Linked DNA regions of Arabidopsis thaliana. The protein of the gene in region 1 interacts with the protein of each later gene in a pairwise test. Each region holds a gene or a part of one and is shown in the gene's direction. Other genes may lie near its edges.

Region 1 (3,755 bases):
TGACGCAAGAGATCGCCGCCGTGTGACCTTCTAGGGTTTTCAGGTGACGGTATGGCTTATATATCGGAACGTTTCCGCTTGTTCCTGCGTTACCGGTGGAATTCGCGTTAGCGACTCCGTTACTTGTTCCGTTACCACCGCTTGGCATCGTCGTCTCTCGTCGGATTTAGCAGAGTGGAGATGATCTCAATGAATCTCTCACCGTTACATATATATACATTCCGTTGACCATGACCTCTTGGGAATTACATTTTTACCCTTCATTCCTCATTTCTCGTATTGGTGGTTCTTCGGCTCGGTTCGGTTCGATTTGAATTTGTCGATTTTGTTGAACTAAAATTGGTCCGGTTCGTTTGGTTTATTTAGTTCGAAGGCACTTTATTCGGTTGGTTTCAGTAATGAGGTTTCGGTATATTTGGGTTAATTTCGGTTTGTATAATCGGTTCAATTCGATTTTAATGCCCACTACATTAGAGGACTCTGAAATCAAGATTTATGTATCCAAACATCTGTGAATGAAATTGAGATAAATCCATAGATGATGGTTATATTATACACACAACAGAAGGGAAGATTTATGCAAGAAACGAATGTAATTTTGAACATTGAGAAGATCCTATGAAGGCTTGTTTTTGCCGTAAATATCTTCAAAACCATCAGCTACTCGTTTCCTTCTTTCAGCAATCATTTCTGAATACGACTGAACCAAAGTACACGAAAAAACCACCAGAATCTCAAAGACAAGACCAAAGTAAAGTCTTGTTCACTAAGATTATAGAAACTAGCATTGTCTGAAGATGTTTAAACAGGATTTTTACTTTAACTTAGACTTAGTAAATTAGAGCTACGAACATTTCTTTAGTAAGGGAATGAAAAGGAGAGGTTGTTAGATGATGGAAGGGAAAATCATACCTTTGGGTAGCTATAAAGGAATATGTACCACCAAGCACCAATTACACCAACCGCAAGCGATGAAACTATGACCGAGTGTAGTATTACCCAGCTACATGCCACTATTGATAGACCCGTTAACATTATCGTCCATGGCTGACACCTGAGAAACATAGCCAGTTGCTTATTCAAAACCATACGGAAGAACACTAGGCCCTGAAAACGTCTAAGAAGAACCGTAAAGTTCTTGATTGCAAATACACACCAGATCAATAGATATTCAAAGCTGTAGATGCTGAGGTCGAAATGTTAAACCCTTCTTAACCCAATTACCATTACATAATCTGTATTTTGGTTCTTCACTATCTTCCTAACCAAAAGATTCAAACTTTTTCTTTCTATCTTCTAAACCACAACACACAATCATGAAACTGTAATGGGGTAAGTCTTGTTTTAAGTAGCATCAATAAATATATAGCTTCATATATGATTCAAAAAAGTTCTTGGGCAGGCATAAATCACTGAAAATGCTAATAAAGATTAAGGATTGGTCCACTTAAAAGTGAACTTAAGACTCTATCTAAGCTATAATCCCATATTCACAACCAACAAATACGATTCCTCATAAGTCTTAGGACCAAATCCAAACTACTTGAAATAAAATTGTTGGGAACTTAAATGAGATTTACCAAGAGGGTTTAGTGTCCCAAACAGAGTCGTATTCGAGAGAGAGATTGTCTAAGAAACCTTCCATGTCATCAACTACGCCTTTTTCATCGACAAATCTTGAATCCTTCGGCTCTCTCCGATTCCCACCAAAACTTCTAACTTTCGTACTAATCCTTATTGGTTTGAGATTGAACGAGTGTAAGTTCGTTCGGAAACTGAGTTTTGAAAGAAGATTCTCTGTTTGAGGCCGAAACGGCGACAGAGACACGGCGGACATGGAGAGACTTGCCATCTGAAGACGACGATAAGGATAGAGGACTCGATTGACTCTAATTAAAATGTGGGGTGCTTTGTGTAAAATCAAAACATGATTTTCAGTGGTGAATAATGATAAATATTGGGCCTATTCGTTAAGGGCCCAATAAGTAAAAAGGCGCAGATACTGTATATGAATCAAAGCCCTAATTTATCAGACAGCTGCTTAGATTTTGTTTTCTTCATTGTCGTCGTCGGAGTGAATTAGGGATTCGAGAATGACGATGAACTCGCTTCCGAGGAGATTTGGGAAGAATCATGGCTATTTGGATCGAGATTATCGAAACGGAAGACGATCTGGTTCAGATTCCGATGAAGAATTGAAGGGATTGAGTCACGAAGAGTATAGGAGGCAGAAACGGCTTAAGATGAGGAAATCAGCCAAGTTCTGCTTTTGGGAGAACACACCGAGTCCACCTAGAGATCAGAACGAGGATTCCGATGAGAACGCCGACGAGATTCAGGACAAGAACGGCGGCGAAAGAGATGATAATTCGAAAGGGAAAGAAAGGAAAGGTAAATCTGACTCGGAATCTGAATCTGATGGTTTGAGATCTAGGAAGAGGAAGAGTAAGAGCTCGAGGTCTAAGCGCAGGAGAAAGAGATCTTATGACAGCGATAGTGAATCCGAAGGGAGTGAGAGTGATTCGGAAGAGGAAGATAGGAGACGAAGGAGGAAGAGTTCTTCTAAGAGGAAGAAGAGTAGAAGCAGCCGTAGTTTTAGGAAAAAGCGAAGTCATAGGAGAAAGACGAAATACAGTGACTCTGATGAGAGCAGCGATGAAGATAGTAAAGCTGAGATTAGTGCTTCTTCGTCTGGGGAGGAAGAAGATACCAAGTCAAAGAGCAAGAGGCGGAAGAAATCTTCGGATTCTAGTTCAAAACGAAGCAAGGGAGAGAAGACGAAGTCAGGGAGTGACAGCGATGGTACTGAGGAAGATTCGAAGATGCAAGTAGACGAAACGGTGAAGAACACTGAGCTAGAACTTGATGAAGAAGAGTTGAAGAAGTTCAAAGAGATGATTGAATTAAAGAAGAAATCTTCAGCTGTTGATGAAGAGGAAGAAGAAGGTGATGTTGGTCCAATGCCATTACCTAAAGCTGAAGGTCACATCAGTTATGGTGGTGCTTTAAGACCCGGTGAAGGAGACGCCATTGCACAGTATGTTCAGCAAGGTAAACGTATCCCACGTAGAGGAGAAGTGGGTCTTAACGCTGAAGAGATTCAGAAGTTTGAGGATCTTGGTTATGTGATGAGTGGAAGTAGGCATCAAAGGATGAATGCTATTCGTATTAGAAAAGAAAACCAGGTTTACAGTGCTGAAGACAAACGGGCATTGGCCATGTTTAACTACGAGGAGAAGGCGAAGCGCGAGGCTAAGGTTATGTCTGATCTGCAGCGGCTTGTGCAGCGCCATATGGGAGAAGAGGTGGGGCCAAATCATGACCCTTTCGGTGCTGGAAAGACTGAAGAAGATGATGATTGATTTTGCTTGGCTTCCTGCTTCTGTTATGTGGGTACTCATCTTATGCTTTATCTTGTTGAATGTTCCTTATTTGCATCATAGATACTGCTGTTTGCTACTTGCCCGTTAATGAGCTTCGTAGTTTATGCTTTAATCTGCTATGTATCCGTTAATGAGCTTCATAGTTTATGCGTTAATCTGCTATGTATCACATGATTGTGTTTGTGTGTCAAAGATAATAGATTCTGACACTGAGGATCTGCAACCGTTCTTGTGCATTTACCTTAGGTCATGTTCGATGATTGAATTTTGCAGGGCATTCACTTAGTTCTGAGATTGTAGAACAATCAATTATTTAGGATATCCGCTTTGAGCCCACCACTGTATTTTCGAATAATGTCCTTTAATGAGCTT
Region 2 (3,755 bases), on another chromosome or scaffold:
TCTTTTATAATAAATTTAAACATTATAAATATTTAAACTTTATACTACGGGTGAAATTTTATAATTGACTGTTTGGGTTGATAAGAATTTACGATAGAAGTAGGAGTTAAATCCTAGAATGACAATCAAAATATAATTATACAATTAAATACTACCACGAGTGAAATCCTATAATTGACGAGTTTGAATCGATATTAATATGGGATGGTTTACTACGGGTGATATTTTAGAATTGACTGGTTTGGGTTGATAATAATTTGCGATAGAATTAGGAGTGAAATCCTAGAATGACAATTAAAATATAATTATACAATTAAATACTACCACGGGTGAAATCCTAGAATTGACGGGCTTGATTCGATATTAATATGGGATGGTGTACTACGGGTGATATTTTAGAATTGACTGGTTTGAGTTGATAATAATTTGCGATAGAATTAGGAGTGAAATCCTACGATGACAATTAAAATATAATTATACAATTAAATACTACCACGGGTGAAATCCTAGAATTGACGGGTTTGATTCGATATTAATATGGGATGGTGTACTACGGGTGAAATCCGAGAAACAACAATCAAAATACAATTATACAATATTAAACATTTAACAAAATAAACAAATACAACTTAAAACTTTAAAATTTGAGTTATAAAATTTCGTCTCGCGGTGAATTATACATTTAAATCAAACAATAGCATAAATTTATTAAATCATCCTAAAAATTATTTAATTATTTTTTATTTAATAAAAATATAGGCCCGCGGTATACCGCGGGTTAATATCTAGTAACCAATATTTTTACAGGTTAAATATAAAGAAATAATTTAAGATCACAAATATATTAAAACGTATAAAAAATTTCAAAAGTATGATCTCTTAAATAGAAGTTAAACAACATTAAGATGTGTAATCACATAAATATTTTCAAAAACATGTAAAATGCATTATATGAAATTTCCAAGACAATGATTTTTATATCTAGACATTGTAAGCACGTAAATATTTCCAAAAACACGTGAAAAATATAAAATGTTGTCACGTAAAATTATTAAAACGTTATGAAATAATTCTAAAACATTAAATTGTAAGTAGATAAATAATACTTTAGACATTGTAAACACGTAAACGTTTCCAAAAACATGTAAATATATAGAAAAGCTTGTAAAACACGTAAAATATCTAAAAGCTTATGAAGTTTCAAAACTTCTAAACATTTTCAAAAAATTTCATAAATTTATGAAAAGTTACAACTGTTCGATAAATTATATCACGTTATTATCCACTGATATTCTCAATAGTTAGTACTTTTGCAATACATGTGTTAGGTTTATATTTTTAGAAAAAATCAAAATATTTATTTGTTTAAACCTTTTTGTTGTTTTTATTATTCCTCTTAGAAACTAATAAAATTTCAAAGTTGTGTTGAATTGTTTGACTGGCTAAGATATTTTCTATTTGCCTACATTACCAAGTATAGTTCAAATTCTTAGGAAAATATTTCTTTTTAAAATTGTCTTCTATATTTAAGAGATTTTCATTAAAATGGGATATATAAGGAGATATCATAAGAATTGTGAAATTATATTTGAGAAAAAAATGAAAAACAAATAAAATAAATAAAAAGCTGAAATCTCACTTTGGGCTTTGGGCCGAAACAGATAAACCAAAATCGTCATGTGAAATATGGGCTTAATATTGATCCAAATCAGGTCGGCTAAATTCTGTTATTAATTAAGAAAAACCGCCAATCTCAGATTTTTTAGCAAACCTTTTCCACAATTTCCAGACAGTTTTAGGGTTCCGTCGTTCTTATTCACTCTCGATTCTTCGCTTAGCTTCGTCTTCTTCATCGAAGATTTATCTCTGTAAGCTTCAAAACCTTTTTTTTTTTTTCGATTCGATTAATCTGAGATTATTTCCTCACTCGTTTTGATTCTGAATCAGACAATTCGCTGTGGATCTTCGGGGCGGGCGAATTTCATTGATTTTCCATTGAATCTGCGAGGTTACATATCCGGATTTGTGTTATCGGAGCTGAATTTAGGAATGGAGGTAGAGAAATCCAAGTATAGGAGCGAAGATTTGGATGTGGTGGAGGAGGAGGCTGATTTGAAGAAGAGTCGGCGAGATCGTGATCGGAGTAATGAGCGGAAGAAGGATAAGGGTTCAGAGAAGCGTCGAGAGAAGGATAGGCGGAAGAAACGAGTTAAGAGTAGTGATTCTGAAGATGATTACGATAGAGATGATGATGAAGAGAGGGAGAAGCGTAAGGAGAAGGAGAGGGAGCGGAGACGGAGGGATAAGGATAGGGTGAAGAGACGGTCTGAGAGAAGGAAGAGTAGTGATTCTGAAGATGACGTTGAAGAAGAGGATGAGAGGGATAAACGCAGAGTGAATGAGAAGGAGAGAGGGCATCGAGAACATGAGAGAGATAGAGGCAAAGATAGGAAAAGGGATAGAGAGAGGGAAGAGAGGAAGGATAAAGAAAGAGAAAGGGAGAAGGATAGAGAGAGGAGAGAACGGGAACGGGAAGAGCGGGAGAAGGAGAGAGTTAAAGAAAGAGAAAGGCGGGAACGGGAAGATGGAGAGAGGGATAGGAGAGAGCGTGAGAAAGAAAGGGGTAGTAGGAGGAACCGGGAAAGGGAAAGGTCAAGAGAGGTGGGCAATGAAGAGAGTGATGATGATGTCAAGCGTGACTTGAAACGTAGAAGAAAAGAGGGCGGTGAACGGAAGGAGAAAGAGCGTGAAAAGAGTGTTGGCAGATCTAGCAGGCATGAAGATAGTCCAAAGAGAAAGAGTGTCGAGGATAATGGGGAAAAGAAAGAGAAGAAAACGCGAGAAGAAGAACTAGAGGATGAGCAGAAGAAGTTGGATGAGGAAGTGGAAAAACGAAGGAGAAGAGTCCAGGAGTGGCAAGAATTGAAGAGGAAGAAGGAGGAAGCTGAAAGTGAAAGTAAGGGTGATGCGGATGGTAATGAGCCCAAGGCCGGTAAGGCTTGGACTCTTGAAGGAGAATCTGATGATGAAGAAGGCCATCCGGAAGAAAAATCAGAAACAGAAATGGATGTTGATGAAGAGACTAAACCTGAAAATGATGGAGATGCTAAGATGGTAGACTTGGAGAATGAGACAGCTGCTACTGTCTCTGAGAGTGGAGGTGATGGAGCTGTAGATGAAGAGGAAATTGATCCTTTAGATGCTTTTATGAATACTATGGTATTACCTGAGGTTGAGAAGTTTTGCAATGGTGCTCCTCCCCCAGCAGTGAACGATGGTACTTTGGATTCTAAAATGAATGGGAAGGAAAGTGGTGACCGGCCAAAGAAAGGTTTTAATAAGGCCCTTGGTAGGATAATTCAAGGTGAAGATTCTGATTCTGATTATTCAGAACCAAAGAATGATGATGATCCAAGTTTAGACGAAGACGATGAGGAGTTCATGAAGAGAGTAAAGAAGACAAAAGCTGAGAAGTTGTCCCTTGTTGACCACTCAAAAATAGAGTATGAACCTTTCCGGAAGAACTTCTATATCGAAGTGAAGGATATCTCTAGGATGACACAAGAAGAAGTTAACACTTACAGAAAGGAATTGGAGCTGAAAGTTCATGGAAAGGATGTTCCAAGACCCATAAAGTTTTGGCACCAGACTGGGCTAACCAGCAAAATTTTGGATACTATGAAGAAGCTTAATTATGAAAAGCCAATGCCTATTCAAACACAAGCACTCCCTATCATCATGAGCGGTCGAGACTG
Region 3 (3,755 bases), on another chromosome or scaffold:
GACGTGTTAACAAGAAAAAAAAAAAAAAAAAATCACTTACAGGACTCCAAAGAAAGAGAGAGGTAACGTAACTTACTAGAGCAGCAGTGGCTTCATCACCGCTCCTCTGAGCATCTTTAAGTTTCCTTCCATAAGTTTGCTTGATCTTGTCAAATCCCTCTATAGGGTTAACACCAAGAACCTGAGAAGGTACACACACTCATGTCATGAGAAATACACAACGACCAACAAAACAAGTCCTTTATAGGGCTCTAACGATCAATTACCTCATACGGATTAAAGTCAGCATCAGACTGTGGATTACCAGCCGCAGACGAAGCAGCACGTATCACAATCCTGCTCTGTAACACCTTTCCGAGGGGAAGCCTGAGAATTTCAATCATCCTCATTACAATGATAACGTGTACCAAATGGTCTGATAAGCACAACAATGGAACTCTCTTAAGTGCAATTGAAAGTTGTAAACTTTATAGGCAACAGTAAGAAGCTCATCCACGAATTAAGCCGTCGGAATTCAATTGACAATGTTTATGAAGGAAGAAGATAACGGTTACCCACAAAATCCGTAAGTTTACACAACAAAAAGAACTATCAAACGATGATTCTTCGACTTTAAAGCCACCGAAGAGAAGTGGAAAACAAAAAAGCAGCATCAAGAGAAAGTACCTGACAAAAGAAGGCGATTTGGGAGCGCGAAGAGAGTTCCTGAGAGAAATTTGAGGATGATGGTAACGAAGCGCGTTTGATGTTGAGAAAGCCATGACGGAGGAGCAAGAAGTAGATAGTGCGGGAGCCATGGCAGAGCAGAGCTCTAGTAGGGTTAAAAGGAAACTAGAAGGTTGGTGATTGATGTTTGGAAGCTAATCATTCAATACTCAATAGTTTGTTAAGGCTAAAAACTGAGGCCTGACCAATAGTTCGCGTGGCCCAATGGATAAGGCGCTCGCCTCCGGAGGGGGATATTCTCGGTTCGACCTCCATCGTGAACGAATTAGGTAATAATAAAGACGGCCTGCTTTCTTCAGCCCAACTGATTTATCGGCCCAATCCAGTGTCTTTATTAGTTTGTTTTCGTGGGATCTCTGGTTTACTTACTTGCAGGGATTATCTCCCAATTCCAATCCAAACATGCCACACTTTTCTTATCTCTTTTTCAGATTTCAATCTCGTCCAAGAAATCGTTTAGTACTCACATTCAATTTGGAAATGTTTTTGCATAAATTGGGGTTGGATTTCCTACCTCTTTTTCACTAGATTGTGCATTATCAATTTATGAACTTTTTCTGGAAACATATTAAATTGTAGATCCAATATTTTATCTTAACAAATCTGGATCTGTTGAGAATGTTTTTCTGTAATTTAGAGAGGATTGTAATTGTGTAGTACATTTGATAATAAACTTAAATGTGAATTTTAGACTACCACCAAGTAATTATCATTTCAAAGAACAAACCAAATAGATAATAAAGAACTGTTAGAAAGTAAAATTGTATATAATAAGATAAGAAAAGACATTACAAAGTACAAACCTTCTCCAAGTAAACTTCTAACAAAACAAAAAAATAGATTTGGATTGGGAAATAATATCTAAAATCCTATTTAAAACAAAATAAAAACAAAAAAGATATAACGTTAAGGAAAAGGAAAATACTAGTAGAAAAAAAAAACATGTAGGCATCAAAAGGAATATTCTCAAGAGTTTTGGCTATAAAAAAAGGTAGAGCCGACTCAAGAGGTCTTCTTAACTCACACAAGAACCAACACAAAACAAAAAATATTAAGAAAGTGATATTATGACTTGCAGCCAAACACTCGGAAACAACAACACCAACAAATACCAGATCTGCGAGGAGATCGGCCGTGGCCGTTTCGGCACCGTCTCTCGCGTCTACGCTCCGGCCACCGGTGATTTCTTCGCTTGCAAAACCATCGACAAAGCCTCTCTCTCCGACGACCTTGACCGTGCCTGTCTCGACAACGAGCCTAAGCTCATGGCTCTCTTGTCCTATCACCCTAACATCGTTCAAATCCATGATCTCATCGACACTGATTCGACTCTCTCCATCTTCATGGAGCTCGTCCATCCCTCTGTTTCGATCTACGACCGTCTCGTCTCTTCTGGAACCTTCTTTGAGCCTCAGACGGCGTCGTTCGCTAAACAGATTCTCCAGGCGCTTTCGCATTGTCACCGATACGGCGTCGTTCACAGGGATATTAAACCGGAGAACATTCTGGTAGATCTACGAAACGATACGGTTAAGATCTGCGATTTCGGTTCAGGGATTTGGTTAGGTGAGGGAGAGACCACCGAAGGAGTCGTCGGAACGCCGTATTACGTGGCGCCGGAGGTTTTAATGGGATATTCTTACGGAGAGAAGGTCGATCTATGGAGCGCCGGCGTCGTTTTGTACACGATGCTCGCTGGAACTCCACCGTTTTACGGCGAGACAGCTGAAGAGATATTCGAAGCGGTACTCAGAGGAAATCTCCGTTTTCCGACGAAGATATTCCGGGGGGTTTCATCTATGGCTAAAGATTTCCTAAGGAAATTGATATGCAAAGATGCTTCTAGAAGATTCTCAGCCGAACAAGCATTAAGTAAGATTCTAAAACCATCAGATCTGTTTCTCTGTTGAATTTTTAATGTCAATAAATTTCATCTATTTTTAACAGATAATGTTATCTTATCCACACTAATCCATTTTTTAGTAGGTTGGTTTAATGATAAAGTGAACTAAATTTGGTATTTTGTAATTTTGTTTTGTTGCAGGGCACCCATGGATCCAAAGAGCAGGAGAAACAGAGGAGAGATTCATCTAGAAGATTCTCTCGGAGAAATAAATAAGTGTCAAGTGATAGCTTATCATCTCTCTCGGTGGTTTTTTATCTAACAAGTATGGAGGAGTGTCGGGCATGTAAATTTGGGTTATGGGCATTTTAGATTCCGCCAGCCTACCAACCTAGTAGAAGAGAAGACTCTGGAAAAGACTTTTAACCAAAAAAAAAGGAGCTGAATAATAAAAGAAGCTTGTTTGTTGTGGCTGCTTCTGAGTTTGGCGATGAGTTTTTTTTTTTTTTCTGCATTTGTTGCTTATGTGAATTTTGTTTGGCTTTTGAAAAGTCTTTTTAGGGGTAGAGACGGTAATGTAGAGAGGATAACAAATCTTTTTCCGCCTTTTACGGGTTTTTTTTTCCATGTGGGGTGAGTAAAAGGATGTGAGAAAGCAGAGTTGTACTCCTTTTTCTGCTTTTTTTTTTTTTTAATCAATAAAAATAGTTTATGTTATCCCTAATCTAACACTTTGTTGATAAAGACCTAATCTAACCTTTGCACATATAATTAAACGAAATAATTTTCTCAAGCAATGAAAAATGTCGTTCAGATACTTGGAGAAACCATATCTTTTTTTGTTTTTATTATCTGATTGTTATCCACTCTCTTATATTTAAATAGTACCTTTTTAATTCAAATGTTCGTTTACATGCGGATCCTATTTCAGTGTAGTGTCTTTTGATAACAACATTCCACCGATTTAAAGTTAATGCACACTTTTCGTAATAGATCAACTTTTTTCACTCATGACTATTTGATGTTGAAAACAAGTACGTTGAGGGAAAAACACGATGTACGGTGGTGGGCTAGTTAGGTACGTTTCTTCTGTTTTCTAAAAATTCCCCACATTCCAAAATTTCAAAACTACAGCACTTTTGTTGCAAAGTCAAATTATAAGAATAATCCTCTCAATTTTCTAGCA

What was found.
Region 2: the proteins of AT4G02720 (region 1) and AT1G20920 interact in a two-hybrid assay, tested with the Arabidopsis thaliana proteins (one study listed by BioGRID).
Region 3: the proteins of AT4G02720 (region 1) and PPCK1 interact in a two-hybrid assay, tested with the Arabidopsis thaliana proteins (one study listed by BioGRID).

What each region holds. Positions count from the first base shown.
Region 1 is NC_003075.7:1,204,152-1,207,906, reverse strand, and holds the start of AT4G02720 (Ras-induced vulval development antagonist protein), read left to right. Parts: upstream 1-2,014; 5' UTR 2,015-2,093; coding exon 2,094-3,362; 3' UTR 3,363-3,755. Other genes in the region: WDR5b (Transducin/WD40 repeat-like superfamily protein), read right to left, coding at 1-148; AT4G02725 (spindle pole body-associated protein), read right to left, coding at 617-700, 913-1,054, 1,581-1,852.
Region 2 is NC_003070.9:7,283,293-7,287,047, forward strand, and holds the start of AT1G20920 (P-loop containing nucleoside triphosphate hydrolases superfamily protein), read left to right. Parts: upstream 1-1,749; 5' UTR 1,750-1,868; exon of another isoform or gene 1,869-1,947; 5' UTR 1,948-2,049; coding exon 2,050-3,755. UniProt on the Arabidopsis thaliana protein: Helicase required for pre-mRNA splicing, cold-responsive gene regulation and cold tolerance.
Region 3 is NC_003070.9:2,750,413-2,754,167, forward strand, and holds PPCK1 (phosphoenolpyruvate carboxylase kinase 1), read left to right. Parts: upstream 1-1,711; 5' UTR 1,712-1,793; coding exon 1,794-2,598; intron 2,599-2,712; coding exon of another isoform or gene 2,713-2,738; exon of another isoform or gene 2,739-2,763; intron 2,764-2,770; coding exon 2,771-2,820; 3' UTR 2,821-3,397; downstream 3,398-3,755. Other genes in the region: CJD1 (Chloroplast J-like domain 1), read right to left, coding at 77-181, 267-366, 667-797; AT1G08645 (uncharacterized protein), read right to left, coding at 1,401-1,418, 1,530-1,595, 1,839-2,183.